Drosophila melanogaster: one gene and its partners. The protein of the gene in region 2 purifies or fractionates together with the protein of the main gene of each other region. This does not show direct contact. Each region holds a gene or a part of one and is shown on either strand. Other genes may lie near its edges.

The links. The genes of interacting proteins can lie anywhere in the genome.
Region 1: the proteins of Fbp2 (region 2) and gsb purify together in Drosophila melanogaster (affinity purification with mass spectrometry, with the first as the bait; one large-scale study listed by BioGRID). This does not show direct contact.
Region 3: the proteins of Fbp2 (region 2) and Rab14 purify together in Drosophila melanogaster (affinity purification with mass spectrometry, with the first as the bait; one large-scale study listed by BioGRID). This does not show direct contact.

Annotation. Positions count from the first base shown.
Region 1 is NT_033778.4:25,059,754-25,065,774, forward strand, and holds gsb (gooseberry), read left to right. Parts: upstream 1-2,210; 5' UTR 2,211-2,394; coding exon 2,395-2,449; intron 2,450-3,480; coding exon 3,481-4,709; 3' UTR 4,710-4,890; downstream 4,891-6,021. UniProt on the Drosophila melanogaster protein: Expressed in segmentally repeating pattern to define the polarity of embryonic segments.
Region 2 is NT_033779.5:9,424,113-9,429,006, forward strand, and holds Fbp2 (Fat body protein 2), read left to right. Parts: upstream 1-2,671; 5' UTR 2,672-2,822; coding exon 2,823-3,146; intron 3,147-3,206; coding exon 3,207-3,653; 3' UTR 3,654-3,805; downstream 3,806-4,894. Other genes in the region: Mco1 (multicopper oxidase 1), read left to right, coding at 1-1,517, 1,584-1,988; CG42847 (uncharacterized protein), read left to right, coding at 3,911-4,283, 4,338-4,390; FucTB (alpha1,3-fucosyltransferase B), read right to left, coding at 4,718-4,894.
Region 3 is NT_033779.5:14,354,823-14,359,895, forward strand, and holds Rab14 (Rab14), read left to right. Parts: upstream 1-2,218; 5' UTR 2,219-2,385; coding exon 2,386-2,449; intron 2,450-2,458; exon of another isoform or gene 2,459-2,518; coding exon 2,519-2,632; intron 2,633-2,697; coding exon 2,698-2,878; intron 2,879-2,932; coding exon 2,933-3,115; intron 3,116-3,183; coding exon 3,184-3,361; 3' UTR 3,362-3,942; downstream 3,943-5,073. Other genes in the region: l(2)34Fd (lethal (2) 34Fd), read right to left, coding at 1-51, 110-175; Pgant35A (polypeptide N-acetylgalactosaminyltransferase 35A), read left to right, coding at 4,558-5,073.

The DNA.
Region 1 (6,021 bases), on a different chromosome or scaffold from region 2:
GAGGCTTTGTGCCCGAAGCCGCCCCTTTTCGATAACATTTGGTGTGTAAGCAGATGTAGCTGAGTTTTAATTTAGTTTATTTATTCCATCGCTTTGCGCTTTTTGTTGCTGTACCAGATGTTGTTGTTGCCTGAGGCGACTGTGTGTTAAGCGTGTTAGTGGTTATTTTTCAGACGTATTTATTGAAATTGCTTAGAAAATAATAAGCACAGTATTTTGAAGAGCTCTTCATTATACACTAATAAAAGGCGTTTATGACAAATTGTGCCCGACAAGAACGTTTTTTTTTAGTTGTATTAATACGAGAGAGCTTTATTGGAGTTGCCTGTCACGGTCCTTCGTTTGAGAAATGAAATCGAATTCCGCAGCATTTTAAAGCCATCACTCAAGTCAATTCCTTCGCTTGCAGCCTTCGCCTGCCGGTTCACAAATGAATTTTCCAACTTGGGGTAAACCACGCAATGTACAGTTCGACTGCCAGGCGAATACATTGCCTTTGAGCCTTCCGTCTATGACTGGCTTAGAAAAATGTTTCAAAAAACCAATAAAAATGCCGCAGTCAAGGAGTGAAAAGAATTTTGTTATTTGGCGTCGGTTCTGCTTTTTGTATTTACCAGATAAGTTCTTATTTACAAAAGTTAGTCCAGGTCAACGGAGACCTGGTCGATGGAGAGAAACAGAGTCCGAACACTTGCCATTTGAATGCTCAATAGATTCCGATTCATCATTCGCACTGACGCACAATCCATATCGGAATCTGCATCTAAGGCAGTGTCGGCATCGAAGACTTTGCCAATCGCACAGTAGCAGTTTCAGTTGTCAAATGATTTGAGCGATTGCCTTGCGGCAAAGCCACACAGAGCGTAACGGCCAGCCAAACAATGGACCTAAATTATTGCCAAATAGCATATACTCACCATCGCACCCACGCCGAAAGTATCTCACAGATACATATACCGCTGGACGAGTATCTCGACAATTGCCTGCCCCAAAACCAGGGGCCACAAACTTTGTCTACATTGTTCGCGTACATAGCCTTGCCTTGGATATGATGCTGCATAATTTCAATGCTCGCGCACGCGGCGTATACGCAACATGGCCAAAACGCCTTTGATATTGACCGCTCATAGCTAAGCAGTCTCAAAAATTAACCGAGTGCATGACTCGGAAATGAAGTTTACATTTCCTCTTCCTTTTTACCTGTGCGAAAATGTTTTACCCAGCTTCCCACTCAGCAACACATACAAAAGGCCGTTCCCATTCTCTTTTTGTCATGAATATTAATTTTTAGAGTTGTTTTACAGATGGGGCTCTTCTAATTAGCTTTTGCAAACAGTGTCTGTTAAGTAGAGCCAGTAATTGAATCACAACTTCGGAATGAACTTTTAATGAAGCATGTCGACTATTTAGCCATTAGTCTCAATACGGCTGTCTTTAAATTCAAATTCCAATTGAAAGCAACTATTTAATCAATCGCGTTCACTTGTTTGAAAAGTAAAATCCTGCCACAGACTTCACCAGACACGCGTATCTTAGCCCCACGCCTTTTTCCATTTAACCAAGGCCATTGGTTTGGCGAGGGCGGCTTGCAGACAAAATAAAATGCAAGTTAAATGCGTTTCATAGACCGTCTGTTGCGGTCTTAGAAACCTTTTGCATTCTTTTTTTATTTGCCCGTTCATTCAAGGTTTTTCTATGGATATTTCAACAGTTTGTTTGTGGCGGCGATGGAAATAGTGCTCACAATATATTTACGATATTCGGAATCAGCTTGCCAGCTCACCCACCTCAAGCCTATGATTTTCGTCCCAAAGCATAACTTCAAATCAAGCGCATATTAAATAAACAATCATAATGGAGTACCGACTGAGCCCACTCGGAATTTTATAAATCCCAAATCCTTCAGGAAGGGATACTAAACCGAATTCTGTTCGGTTTTCTGGAGGCGGAGCTAAAGAAATTACAGTCATGCTATGGAGTCTCTCTCGTTTCTGGTTCGACGGCACTGCTCTCGCTCACACTTTCAGGCTGAGCAGCTGATCCGCTCTAACCACCGGTACCGATCGCAGCCTCTCGCTCTTGCATCGCCTGGCTGCCGGCCTGCAATTCCACCCTCGCGCCCGCACTGCTTCTTCACTGAACAAAACTAGTTTCTTGGCTCTGAGAATCTCACGGATTCGTTTTAGTCTTGCGGCTGACCGTTTCAAAATCAGTTTCGAGCTGTCAAGCAACCGAGCAGCATCATCATTCACTGCGCACTCGCAACAGCAGATACACACTCCAAAAATAATTTAGAATTCCTAACAGTCGGGCCTCGCGAAGATTAATTTGAAACGTATAAGTAAAAGTGTTAACAAAACTCCGAAGAACTCTCAAAAGGATTACCGCAAGGAAATGGCTGTTTCGGCTCTCAACATGACACCCTACTTTGGCGGATATCCCTTTCAAGGTAAGCACCGACAGATAGATACAAGATCACAACGACCATTACCAATTACCACAATTACTGGTACAAAACGCCAGATTCAGACGCAGAAAAGTGCTGGCTCATCATTTGGGGCAGCGCTTTCGCCCGCTGTTTTCAAACGAGGGATCATTACCCGTTCGGCAGCATGATCAGCTTTCTGACTTATTGATTGTAATCGGCAACTAGCCCGGACAGGCAATGGCCATACCCAGACCCAGTGAAAAGCCAACCTCTTCGAACCCCAGCTTAAGGTGCGGACTTTGCAGACTTTTTGGCGCGACCGTCTTGCCAGCTCATGTCTCGACTCATGCCACGGCGGCGTCGTGTCGCTGGGCTTTGATCTTGAATCGACTCAGTGTCTGTGTTGGAGCTCGGGGTCTTGTGTATCACGTAGCTCAGTAACGTCAGCGCCCCAAACATCAGACCCTGCACAGGGACCGGGCTTTCATTTCTCTTTACGGCTGTTTTGGGGCCGCCTTTTCATATACACACACTTGTATTAGCCGGCGCAGCTGGGCATCTGCTGCTCTTATGGATTATTAGTTTGATTTGATTGCAAAAGCCGGCCCGGGATGCAGCTATGTTCGCAGCCGCGTCCCCTGTCGAGATTGGTATTTTTCCCCACCACCGCATACCATTCGTCTGCAAGAGGCTTACTATTTTCTCAAAAAGGCCCACGCAAATGACCAATTTGCGTTTTGTTATGTCTACAAATGGCTATGGTATCGTTTGTGCCAATCTTCAACAAAAGATCGTGCGTATTGATCCTGCGGCTTATCCTGATTAGTGCAGTTCAGTTAGTAAGCAATTGAAGTGGTCAATGCCGTCTAACTAGATTACTTTCTTTCGCTCAATGGAGCAAGGAAAAAAGTTAATTTAAATATCGTTCCGAAAACAAGACCACACAACTAACGTACTTAAGATATTGTAATGGGATCAGACTTCCATGGACGTACTTACGAACAAATGCTGACTTGCAAGTGTATTCATGCCTGTTTCTCTAATTCTTCCAGGACAAGGTCGTGTCAACCAGTTGGGTGGCGTCTTCATCAACGGCCGTCCGTTGCCCAATCACATCCGTCGCCAAATCGTGGAGATGGCAGCAGCTGGAGTCCGTCCCTGTGTCATCTCCCGCCAGCTGCGCGTCTCTCATGGCTGCGTCTCAAAGATTCTAAACCGCTTCCAGGAGACTGGCTCCATTCGGCCCGGAGTAATCGGTGGCAGCAAGCCCCGTGTAGCCACGCCAGACATTGAGTCCAGAATCGAGGAACTTAAACAGTCGCAGCCCGGTATTTTTAGTTGGGAAATCCGCGCCAAGCTAATCGAAGCGGGAGTCTGCGACAAGCAAAATGCTCCGTCGGTGAGCTCTATTTCGCGTCTTCTGCGAGGATCCTCCGGATCAGGGACCTCCCACAGCATCGACGGCATCCTCGGCGGAGGCGCTGGTTCTGTGGGAAGCGAGGATGAGAGCGAGGACGATGCCGAGCCCAGTGTGCAGTTAAAAAGGAAACAAAGGCGTTCCCGGACGACATTCTCCAACGACCAGATCGACGCCCTAGAGCGCATCTTCGCCCGTACACAGTACCCCGATGTCTACACCCGGGAGGAGTTGGCCCAGAGCACGGGATTGACCGAGGCCCGTGTCCAAGTTTGGTTCTCTAATCGCCGTGCTCGTCTGCGCAAGCAACTGAACACCCAGCAGGTGCCTAGCTTTGCTCCCACATCTACTTCTTTTGGCGCAACTCCCACTACCAGTGCCGCCCCTGCTCCAAACATGGGAATGAGCCTTTACAGTTCACAGAGCTGGCCATCATCCGGAGCCTATGAAAATCATGCTGCCTATGGTGGATCGGTTGCATCCATGTCCCCCGCCAGCAGCACCTCGGGTACCAGCTCTGCCGCCCACAGTCCCGTACAGACGCAAGCGCAGCAGCCAGGAACTGGAAGCGAGTTTATGACCTCCACTTACGGCGTGGGATCGAGCAATGCTACTTACCCATCGGCTGCCTATTCAATGCCGCAGACTCCTGCTACATCCGCGGAGCAGCTGAGATCCCAGTTTGCATCTGCCGCCGCTTCGGGCTCTCACCACCCCTCCACGTGGGACAGCTACAACTTTGCGGGTTCCTTTTTCCCTCCCGCTTCTGCCGCAGGCAACCATATTAGCGGCTACCATCATCAGGTTGATCAGAAGAGCTCAATGATGACCACTGCACCAACCTATCCATACTTTGGATTTTGAGACGATCCCTGCTTGTTCCTAATCTTGTGGGTCGTTTGAAAACTTTAACAGTACTTTAATGTTGCTACTCGTATAGACCTACATTTAACACCCCTAAGACTGTTTAAATTAGTACTTTAATACAAATGTTAGTTTTAGGTTAAGGAGCAATTATCAAAACAATAAAAGAAAACATTTAAATAAAACCCAACGGTTAGTTTTATTTCTGAGAACTAAAATATACCTATATATAATTTAAAAATCAAGAAATATGGGATCATTGCGTTTCTGTATACCCAGAAAAAATAAAGTACGAAAAGCTTTATTAGCTCGTTAAACATAATGATATCTCTTTAATCCCGCAATTCTTTACCTTTTCAATGTTTCCAAATTCGTATTTTATAAATTTCAAACGGTGATTTTTGATTTAAATGTAAGTGTACGGTGAATTCAATTAATTCTGAATGGAAGTTATATCCAACCATATAAATTTTCACAATATACTCAAGCCGCTTACACTTCATTAAACTAATAACAATTCTAGACCACACACATCAACAGTTTTTGTCAAGTTCCTGTGGCAACCTAACAGGTTAACAAGCCCATCCGAGTAATCCCTCAAAATAGTCTAGAAACGTTTCTTTAAATTGTCAAAGTGATGTTAATCATCGATCGTCTTCAAATCTGTGCAGATTGGAAGAAGGCCGTGATCTGGATGAGGGCGCTCTTTAGGCATATTCAAACAAAAACTGGCTCATGATCTGACCATTAAACAATTAGAGACAAAAACGGACAACACGTACTGCGGATTTGATAATACAAAAATAATTAGGGATTGGTGAATGGTTTGGGAAAACCACACACATCGCAGCAAAATAGAGTAATTGACAAGGTAGATGGGCAAAGTATGAGCAGTGGAATCGGGCGACCACCAACGTCACTGAATCGTGACTTTTAAGATGCCGCCAAATGTGGGCCTTTCCGAAGATGATAGGACCCGAAAAGGCAGCCAAGTGCACACAGAAATGAACAAAGCCATTGACAATATGACAGCGAGGGAGGGCAGGACTCATACTTATATCAGGCTTCTCCCCATGCACTAGTTACGGACGATCGGGATCTTGGGTGGTGTTGCTGGTAGGTACAGCTGTAGTTAGGACGGACCTCGACGATCGGTGTCTTTCTTCAGGACCTTCCCGCTGCTCCCAATTATGTGTGCTCAGCGGGCGTTGCACTTACCACCTAGAATGAAAACGTTCCCTGGCGGTCAGAGTGCCTAAATGAAAACATCAATTAGCTCCTATAGTCGAACATCGCCAGTTCGAGGATCTGG
Region 2 (4,894 bases):
TGGTCGATGTGAAGAATCATTTGTTGGGCGAAAGCACATCGATTCACTGGCATGGTCTGCACCAGAAGAAGACACCCTATATGGATGGTGTACCACACATCACTCAGTGTCCAATTACTCCACATGCGACCTTCAGGTATTCCTTTCCAGCCGATCTCTCCGGCACTCACTTCTGGCATTCGCACACTGGCATGCAGCGAGGTGATGGAGTTTTCGGTGCCTTAATCATCCGGAAACCAAAGACAGCCGAACCACACGGAGGACTCTACGACTTTGACCTCAGCGAGCATGTGATGATTGTCCAGGATTGGATACATGACACAGGTGCCAGCATATTTTCCTATCATCATCACTCCCGAGGTGATAATAAGCCCCACAATCTGCTCGTGAACGGCAAGGGACGTTACTATAATCGCATTTGGGCGGAAGCGAAGCAAGCTCATCGCAGAGCTGAGGAGAGAACTACCCAACCGGTGGAACCATTGCCCAAGTCCCAGGTGGACTTCGTTCAGACACTACCGAGACAAGCTCGATTGGCTAAAACTAATACAACCAAACTATTTCCCGTGAATTCCCGCCAAAAGAGGGGTAATTTAAATGAGATACCCTTGGAACTAGTTCCCCATCAGATTTACACAGTGAGAAGAGGTTTTCGTTATCGCTTCAGAATTATAAATGCGGAATATCTAAACTGTCCTATTGTGGTGTCTATTGACGGTCATAACTTGACAGCCATAAACTCGGATGGCTTTGATATTGAGGCAATGGACGTGGGCTCTATAGTTACCTATTCCGGTGAGCGATTTGATTTTGTACTAAATGCCAATCTCGAGGTTGGAAACTATTGGATTCGACTAAAGGGTTTGATGGACTGCAGCGAAGTCTTTACTTCCGCCTTTCAAGTGGCCATTCTTCGCTATGAGGGAGCTCCAGATGAAGAGCCTACTGCGGAATTGAGTTACGGCCACAAGGCTGAGGGCATTGAACTGAATGTGATGAACCGCGGTCCTGGTTACCCGGACACCAAAACCGTTGCAGAAATGAGGGCTCTGCCCATCTATGATCATGTCTCGGGCATCGATCACGATACACTGAAACCGGAAGCGGACTACAAGTTCTTCATCTACTACGATTTCTATACTAAGAATAATCCCGATTTTCACGATAAAGATCTTTATGCCATGGACATGGAGATGACCCAGCAGAATCGCCTATACACGCCTCAACTGAATCATATAACCTTAAATTTTCCTTCGCTAGCACTGCTACCTTCCAGGAGTCAGCTAAAGGACTCGGACTTCTGTAACGAAACGAGCTTAATGGATCAGGGTATCGATTGTCGCCAGGAGTTCTGCAAGTGTCATCATGTCCTGCAGGTTCCATTGGGCGCCGTGGTCGAGATGATCATCGTGGACGAGGGATTCCAATACTATGCCAATCATCCCTTTCATTTGCATGGAAACGCCTTCAGAGTCATGGGATTGGAGCGTTTGGGCGAAAATGTCACCGTTGAAATGGTTAGTAACTTTGTTCGAAGGAAATAAAAAATATTTATTTAACTTGTAACTATTTATATTCTCAAGATAAAACAACTGGATCAGTTCAATCTACTCAAGCGGAATCTGGACAATCCACCCGTGAAGGACACAGTTACTATTCCAGATGGAGGCTATACCATCATCAGATTCGAGGCCTCTAATCCGGGCTATTGGCTTTTCCATTGCCACATCGAATTCCATGCCGAGATCGGTATGGCTCTGGTCTTCAAAGTGGGTAACGACGATCAAATGGTTCCGGTGCCAGAGAACTTTCCCACCTGCGGCGATTATAATCCAGACTTAAGATCTGATGGAGGAACTACAGAAGATTCGGGATCCAGCAAGCCGATAACAGCTACTCCCCCAAATACAGGAGGCGGTGGATCGGGTCTGGAACCCACTTGGATTACATTGATGATTAGTTCCATGCTAGTGAAACTCTATCGATAAGAGCTGGCCTTCAAAAGAGAGCACAATCCAAACTTGCCAAACGAAATTTAGAGATTATTTATTGAAGAGTTGGAAAGATCGTGTAGATCAAATTGATTTTGATTGATGTAGAAATATATTTGTTTTCCGGCACCTGTACATATTCCATACAAAAATATTCGCATCGTTGTAGCATAAGCATCTGTGATTGTCTAAGAAAATGTTTAAATAAGTCATTTAAATAAATATCTAAATGTTTTTGTAAGATTTTTGGTGTTTCTAATGAAGAGGTAGAATCTTATAATCATGAGTGTAAAATTGCTCTCAAAGATATATATTGAAAAACAAATTTTAACTTTAATGTACATATATATAGAATTCCACAAAACGTAAAATAAATCTGTTTCAAATGTTCCTAATTATTGCAACAATTTATTCGGCAAATTCTACAATTTTATTGTATAATGAGGAACCCAGTCGAAATATTGATATTTCGTCAGGTGGCTGGAGATCAGATGAACCAGCCAACGACCTCGTCGTCGAAAGCTGTCTTATCTGGTCCCTTCTGGCAACAGCTGGCTACGGTCTTGTTGTCGTCTTTTCCAACTCAAAATATCAGGAATGGACAGGGACCTGATCTTCACCCGTTGACCCGATGAAGATAGCTGAAATTATGGCGATGTTATTGCAATCCGAATAAAGTCATCACATTAAATGCGCTGGACATCTGGAATCGGTGCATCTGTGGTGTTATATAAGAGCAGCCACCTACTAGCTTAACATCAGACAGAGTTAGTCACTCATCACATCACAATCCAAGCCACGTCAACCCCAAATAATTAACCCCAAGCAAAAATGTTTGACTGGACCGGTAAGAATGTTGTCTATGTGGGCAGCTTCAGCGGCATTGGATGGCAGATGATGATGCAGCTGATGCAGAAGGACATCAAGATGATGGGCATTATGCATCGCATGGAGAACGTTAAGATGATGAAGAAGCTGCAGGCCATTAATCCATCCGTGAAAGTGGTCTTCATGCAAATGAACCTCATGGAAAAGATGTCGATCGAACAGGCGATGAAGAAAATGGGTCAAATGATGGGACACATTGATGTGATGATCAATGGCGAGGGTGTCCTGCTCGACAAGGATGTGGAGACTACGATGGGCATGAATCTGGTAAGGAATAGATAATTAAATTATTGATTGGTATCTCAACTTCTAAATCCTTTCCCACAGACTGGCATGATCCAGTCGACGATGATGGCCATGCCCTACATGGACAAGACACAGATGGGCATGGGTGGCATGGTGGTTAACATGTCCTCTGTCTATGGCCTGGAACCCGCGCCCGCCTTTTCTGTCTACGCCGCTGCCATGCACGGCATCCTCGGATTCACCCGCTCCATGGGCGACAAGATGATCTACCAAAAGACCGGCGTCATGTTCATGGCCATGTGCCCGGGACTCACCAACAGCGAGATGATTATGAACCTGCGCGACAACGTTACCTGGCACCACTCCGAATCCATGGTGGAGGCCATCGAGAGCGCCAAGCGCCAAATGCCCGAGGAGGCAGCCATGCAAATGATCCACGCGATGGAGATGATGAAGAACGGCAGCATGTGGATTGTGAGCATGGGCCAGCTGAAGGAGGTTACGCCCACGATGCACTGGCAGATGTAAATGGCTTAGTTGAGCGATTATTTGTTAAATCATTTCAAAAAAAAAAATATATAAAAATATTAGGCCTCCCAGTTTGTTTCTTGTTCAATCTAGCTACCATTTACAAATATTTCTTATCTTATAACGATTCCGTGTAGAGAGTATAACTAAATACTTACAAAATTTTGTTTTCCATTGAGATCGTCTTATAAAAATATTTTTTATATAAATATTGGTTCAAAATTTGCAAGACTCGGCTTCTTACCAACAGATGTACCATGTCGAATTATAGGGTTACATATAAAAATCGATGCATTAGCTGTGGCGTCGAAGTACCAGTCCTTTCCACAAATGGATGCCATTTCAAAGTTCAGGACAAATTTAATTCTTGTGGCTCCAAAATAAGCAATCCTCGAAAACGGCCGAGTCAAATAAAAAGGCACAGGAATATTTCTCAAAGAAAGCTAAATAATGGTTTTAAATGGTCTTCATCATCTACGAAAAAACGATTCTATCCGTTAGTAAAGAAACAAAAATTGTTGATGTCCTCAGAGCCCTCTCATAAGGCTCTAATTTTAAGAGAGATGATTAGGTTAGGAAGAAAACCGAATCGAAAGTTCGAAAAGGCTGCGAGAAATAGTGTATTTCCGGGTAAGTAATCATAATGCAATTTAAACATATCATAACGAAAACTTTAATTCTTAGGCATCTGCCGTACGATATTGAAACTGCACCAGTATACTAATCTTGTACAGTAGAGATTACTGATGTCACAGATTCTTTTGAGATCAAAGTCCCCACCATATGGAATCATTTGGATGGATGGATCAATGGATGTAGATGAAATGGGTACATGCAGACATATATTTTTAGAAGAATCAATGGAAATTTAAGTATTTAAATATTTATTAAGCTAACGTACTTATATTGTGTACAACAGTTTTCAATTAAATGGAATAGGAAAATAAAGTCCTGGATGAGGTACATTTACATTGTAAATACCAGAAATGACAGCTTATTGTAAATAGTTTAATATACATTTATTATCACATGGTAAAGTCTGTATGATTGACGTATTTTTCGAATTAAGTATTTGAACTATTACTGCAATTGTTTCCCTCAATCCTCCGATTGAGCTCAGCATCAAACTCTGCGTCATTGAAACCGATGTCTCGACGGAAGAACTCATCGAGTACCTTAGCTTGGCACTGGCCTACCTCCATTGCGGCTCGCCAATCCGCGACATTTTGAGGAATTTTCTG
Region 3 (5,073 bases), 4.9 Mb from region 2:
GGAGTCCACTTTTTTCATGAGCTGTGACCGCTTTCGCCGATCCGTCAGCCACTGTGAAGGAGATACTCATGAGTTAACTGCTTGGCAACGGGTTTATCTTGCTACTCACATCTGGCACCGACTTGCCGGCGCTCAGGTTGTAGATCTTCACATCGTTAACTTCGTTTACGAACATCTTGAGGGACGATTTTTGCTCAAAATTAAAACATAAACAAACGAAGTCCGCAACACGTGCGCCCTCTATCGATAGACACGATTGTCGATAGCATCTGGCTGCGATAAGCACCTATCGCGGCAGTGTGACCCTTGGCTTGCCAATTGCTCAGTGTGACCGCAGGAAACCAAGCAAAACAAGAGAACGCAAAAGCAGTGAAAAAAGACTACTGATTTGCATCGACCTACCAATTGAAAATAATCGCAATAATTGCCTCTCGGTGCAGCCCCGCAACCCCGCGAAGCCAGTGTGCGTGCTAGCACGAAAGTGAACTGCATTTTGCATCGCCAAATTGCCCAAAAATTGCAATCGAATTCCGCACAGCCAAACAACAATACGCACACATACACACAGTACCCCCCGCTCTGCGTAACCGCCCTACGTTACACATTCCGTTCGCTCCCTAAGGTGGACTAAAACTAAAGTGATCTAAAACGGTGAGTAATATTCGTTGTTTTTCCTTAAGCCAATTAAACACTGATTAAATTATGCGAAATGGAAAACCGTCTGCGAAGGGGTGACGCAGTGCAGCTGTGGGTGCTCCGCAACTTTCCCTTGTGCTCTCGCTCTCTCTTGTTTTTGTCGTTAGGCAGCAGCACTCCATTGTTGTTGTATACACCCCCTGATTGCTTTGATACCCTGCAATGGGGAGTTACTGTTTTGTGACCAAGTTAAGAAAATAAATATGATTTACAAAAATCGATTAATTCTGGGGATGTTTCAGGTTTTTATGGTGTATAATTTATTTTTTGAATTTTTAGGGGATGGTGGGGCAAAAACGGCCGCCACTCTACTTAAAAATCGGTAGGTGAGGAGTTTGTTTAGTATACGCTATAAATAAATACTCTAAATTAGTTTTTATAAGATGGATTATTATATGAGTGTATGAGTTATCATAGAAATATTTACCTGTGCTTATATATTAATTTATTATATGAATTATGCAAACAAGGTTTTTTCAAAATGTAGGCGAGCATGAATAAAAAATTATAATAAATCAGAAGTTTTCTTAGTAGTTGTTATCAGTTATTAATATATTTCTTTTTCATTTTGTTGTGTCTTATTGCGTTGTTGTCTTCAATGCGGGCTTATTTTATTAGTTTGAATGGATGTGCGCTTATTTGTAGATACTCAAATATCAAATCGTATTCAGTTATATCTTAGAAATGGAATATAAAGCGCACATTTATAAAAGTATATTTATATTTAAGATTTTTTGCCAAAGGGTATACATACTTCGTCTGTGTATAAATATATATTTCTCATACTCCTTTCGTTATTTTCCCTGTTATGGGTGCGCCGCTGTGTTCCTTTTATGAGGGGCAATGATGATCCACTTCCATTCAACACATTTTGCAAATAAGTACATATGTACTTCGCCTCCATTGATTGCTCCACTGATGTTTGGCCTTTGGCGCTTGACTGATAAGACTCGAGACCGAGACCTACTACTTAGTTAGTCTAAACTGCCCGTCATAGAGCCTATTAAACTGATATGCACTTGTCACTTTGACAAGCAATGATAAGCGATTATAACTGTATTTGATGATTTAAGTATGAGCAATTAAGAATCCATAATTGATACTCATCTTTTCACACTATATGCTGCTAAGTCACATTCTTTTGTATGAAATTCATTCATATGAAGTAAGGCAGGATGATTACCCTAAATACAAACTAACTTGATGAATAACTTCGCGCGTACTGCTCTTAATAATTGAATTCCCACGATTGCTTGCTCGGCGACCTTGATCCAAATCGCTTTCAGCTTGGGCGAAGGGTTCAATTCACTCTCTTCAGCGCCCCTTAACTGCGGACAAATCAAAGGCTTTCGAACGACACGGATACTGCGAATGGACAAAGTCAAGTGGCATGAAGTGGATATACCCGCCGCTCTTGAAGCTTGCCTCTTTCTTATTTTTTTTTTTTTTTGGCTTCAGTTGGCAGGCAAACAAACCCGGTCGGCTGTTCAAACACAAGCAGGCCTTAAAAAGAAATATCGGGGCCAGTTCGAGAAAGGGGAACAAAATGTGGTGTCGACGCAGAACAAATTAATGCAGCGCCTCGGTTTGTTGATAAGCAGCGACTACGGTTGGACATTCAAATGAGGAGCTGATAGTAGTAGTTAACACTGTTTGATTGGGTCAGAGTTCATTTCTGCCGGTGTCAAGATGAGCAAAGTGCGCAGCGTGGTGAACAAACTGCACGAACGCATAGACTACTTTATTGAAAAATGTGTGAAATATTCTATATACTCAATGACTCTGCAATGTAATAATAATAATAATTTCGCTTGCTTTTTAGGTCCCAACATGACTGCAGCGCCATACAACTACAACTATATCTTTAAATACATCATCATTGGTGACATGGGCGTGGGCAAGTCCTGCCTGCTCCACCAGTTCACCGAGAAGAAATGTGAGTAGACTGTGCTGAGTAATAATGTATGTAATAAGAACTAATCTCTACTTGCCGTCCTGCAGTCATGGCCAATTGTCCTCACACCATTGGCGTGGAGTTCGGCACACGCATCATTGAGGTGGACGACAAAAAGATCAAGCTACAGATCTGGGACACAGCGGGTCAGGAGCGATTCAGGGCAGTGACACGCTCCTATTACCGTGGAGCAGCTGGTGCGCTGATGGTCTACGATATTACCAGGCGGTAAGCGAAGCAAGCTACTATTTGAGAAATTGCTTTACAACTTGACCATTCCAGCTCCACGTACAATCACCTGAGCAGCTGGCTTACCGACACTCGCAATCTCACCAATCCCAGCACTGTGATCTTTCTCATTGGCAACAAATCGGATCTGGAGAGCACTCGGGAGGTTACCTACGAGGAGGCCAAGGAGTTTGCCGACGAGAACGGCCTAATGTTTCTCGAAGCGAGCGCTATGACGTGAGTTTCAACTGGAAGCATAGTGTTTGAGCATATACTGATTATCTTTTTTTTTATCGCCCAAACAGTGGCCAGAATGTGGAGGAGGCTTTTCTGGAGACCGCACGCAAGATTTACCAGAACATCCAGGAGGGTCGGCTCGATCTGAACGCCTCCGAGTCCGGAGTTCAGCACAGGCCATCGCAGCCGTCGCGAACTTCGCTGAGTAGCGAGGCTACGGGCGCCAAGGATCAGTGCTCGTGCTAAATGAATGATGGAACCTAACTTTACGCAAAACCTAGTTATACAAATCAACTTTTATTTTTAGCCGACTCGTAATCTACCGATGCCCAAGCAAAAACCAATGTATGTAGTTAAATAATTCGATTAAGCATCAATGTGTGAGCCAACAACAGCGACAGCAACCACAAAAAAAAAAAAAAACAGAAAAAGAAAATATAAAGTCCTTTCGCTTAATAAGACGCAAGCATTGCAACATTTATTGTATCGGTTAAGCATAAATACTAGAAAATTAAACATGTTTGTTGGCGCAAACTAAAGTTTTGACCATGAAATTTCGAAAAGTTTATCGCACTAACACCATCCTTCGGTCTCAATTTATAGATGAATTCGTTTGAGATATAGATCATGTTTTTGTTGGCTGATGAATCCCTGTATATAATATATATATGTATGAATTTTTGTATCTCCCTAATTTTTTGTTGAGTATTTGTTGTTGTCGCGTGCAAGAATTGGAGGAAACGATCAATGTTATATGAATATTTACGATGTATTAATGGCATAATGCAATAGGAAATAAATAAAATGGTATTTATAAAACCCCTACCAATAGAAATGAATTTCTCTTTCAAATAATTTAAATTTTAATTTGCATATTTAACCATTCGTTTATATTTAATTCTACACCAAATCGCTGGATAATTTTATAATTTACCGGATTTCCATTTAATAGATTTAAATTTTATAAATATTTGGGTACTTACGATTTACTTAAATATTTTGTAAAAAGCTTTTTTAATCCATTTAGTGGAATACCCTCAACTTTGACTTGCGCATAACTTCATTCTTGTTTTATTTAGTGATGCTAACGTTGGGTTGGAAATCAGCTGATTATGACTATGAACAATAAAGTTTGTAAGTCAAACAACGATTTTTCGTATACTGTTCTTTTGTTTGTTGCTGGTTGTCTAATTAATCATTTTAACTGGTTATCAGTCCAATTTTTGTTTTCTACACTACACTATTCTACACTATTTTCGATTTCCTTGAAATTTAGCGGGAAAAACTCTGAGCTAGCATCTTCGGTGGCATCGCTGTGTGCGCGCTTTTGTGCGAATGCCATGGTATGCAAATTAAATTTAATTTATTCCGATCATCATGAAAGTGACAAAGTAGCTGCTTAAGTAGCCAGGGAAGCGCACAACGTAATCTAATCTCGATCCATGATGCAAATCAAGCGCCTCCTGTGCAAATCCTGCGGCCTGGGCACCCTTCTGGTGGCGGTCGTCTGGCTGCTGGCGCTGCTTTTCTACTCGCACAGCCTGCGCAGCTCCATCCGCTCGGCAGGATGGAGGATCGACGAAGGGAACGCAACGCCACGGGCCGAGCTGAGCTACCAGGCCAGGGTCACCGTCGGATGCACTCCAAATGCCAGCATTACCACTGGCGAATCGCCGGCGGCACCCAAGCCGCCCAGTGATCCGGAGCAATTGGAACTGTTGGGTGTGGTGCGCAACAAGCAGGACAAGTACATACGCGACATTGGCTACAAGCATCACGCCTTCAACGCGCTGGTGTCCAATAACATAGGACTCTTCCGGGCGATCCCAGACACTCGGCACAAGGTGTGCGATCGCCAGGAGACCACGGAAGCGGAAAATCTGCCCCAGGCCTCCATAGTCATGTGCTTCTACAACGAGCACAAGATGACGCTGATGCGCTCGATTAAGACCGTGCTG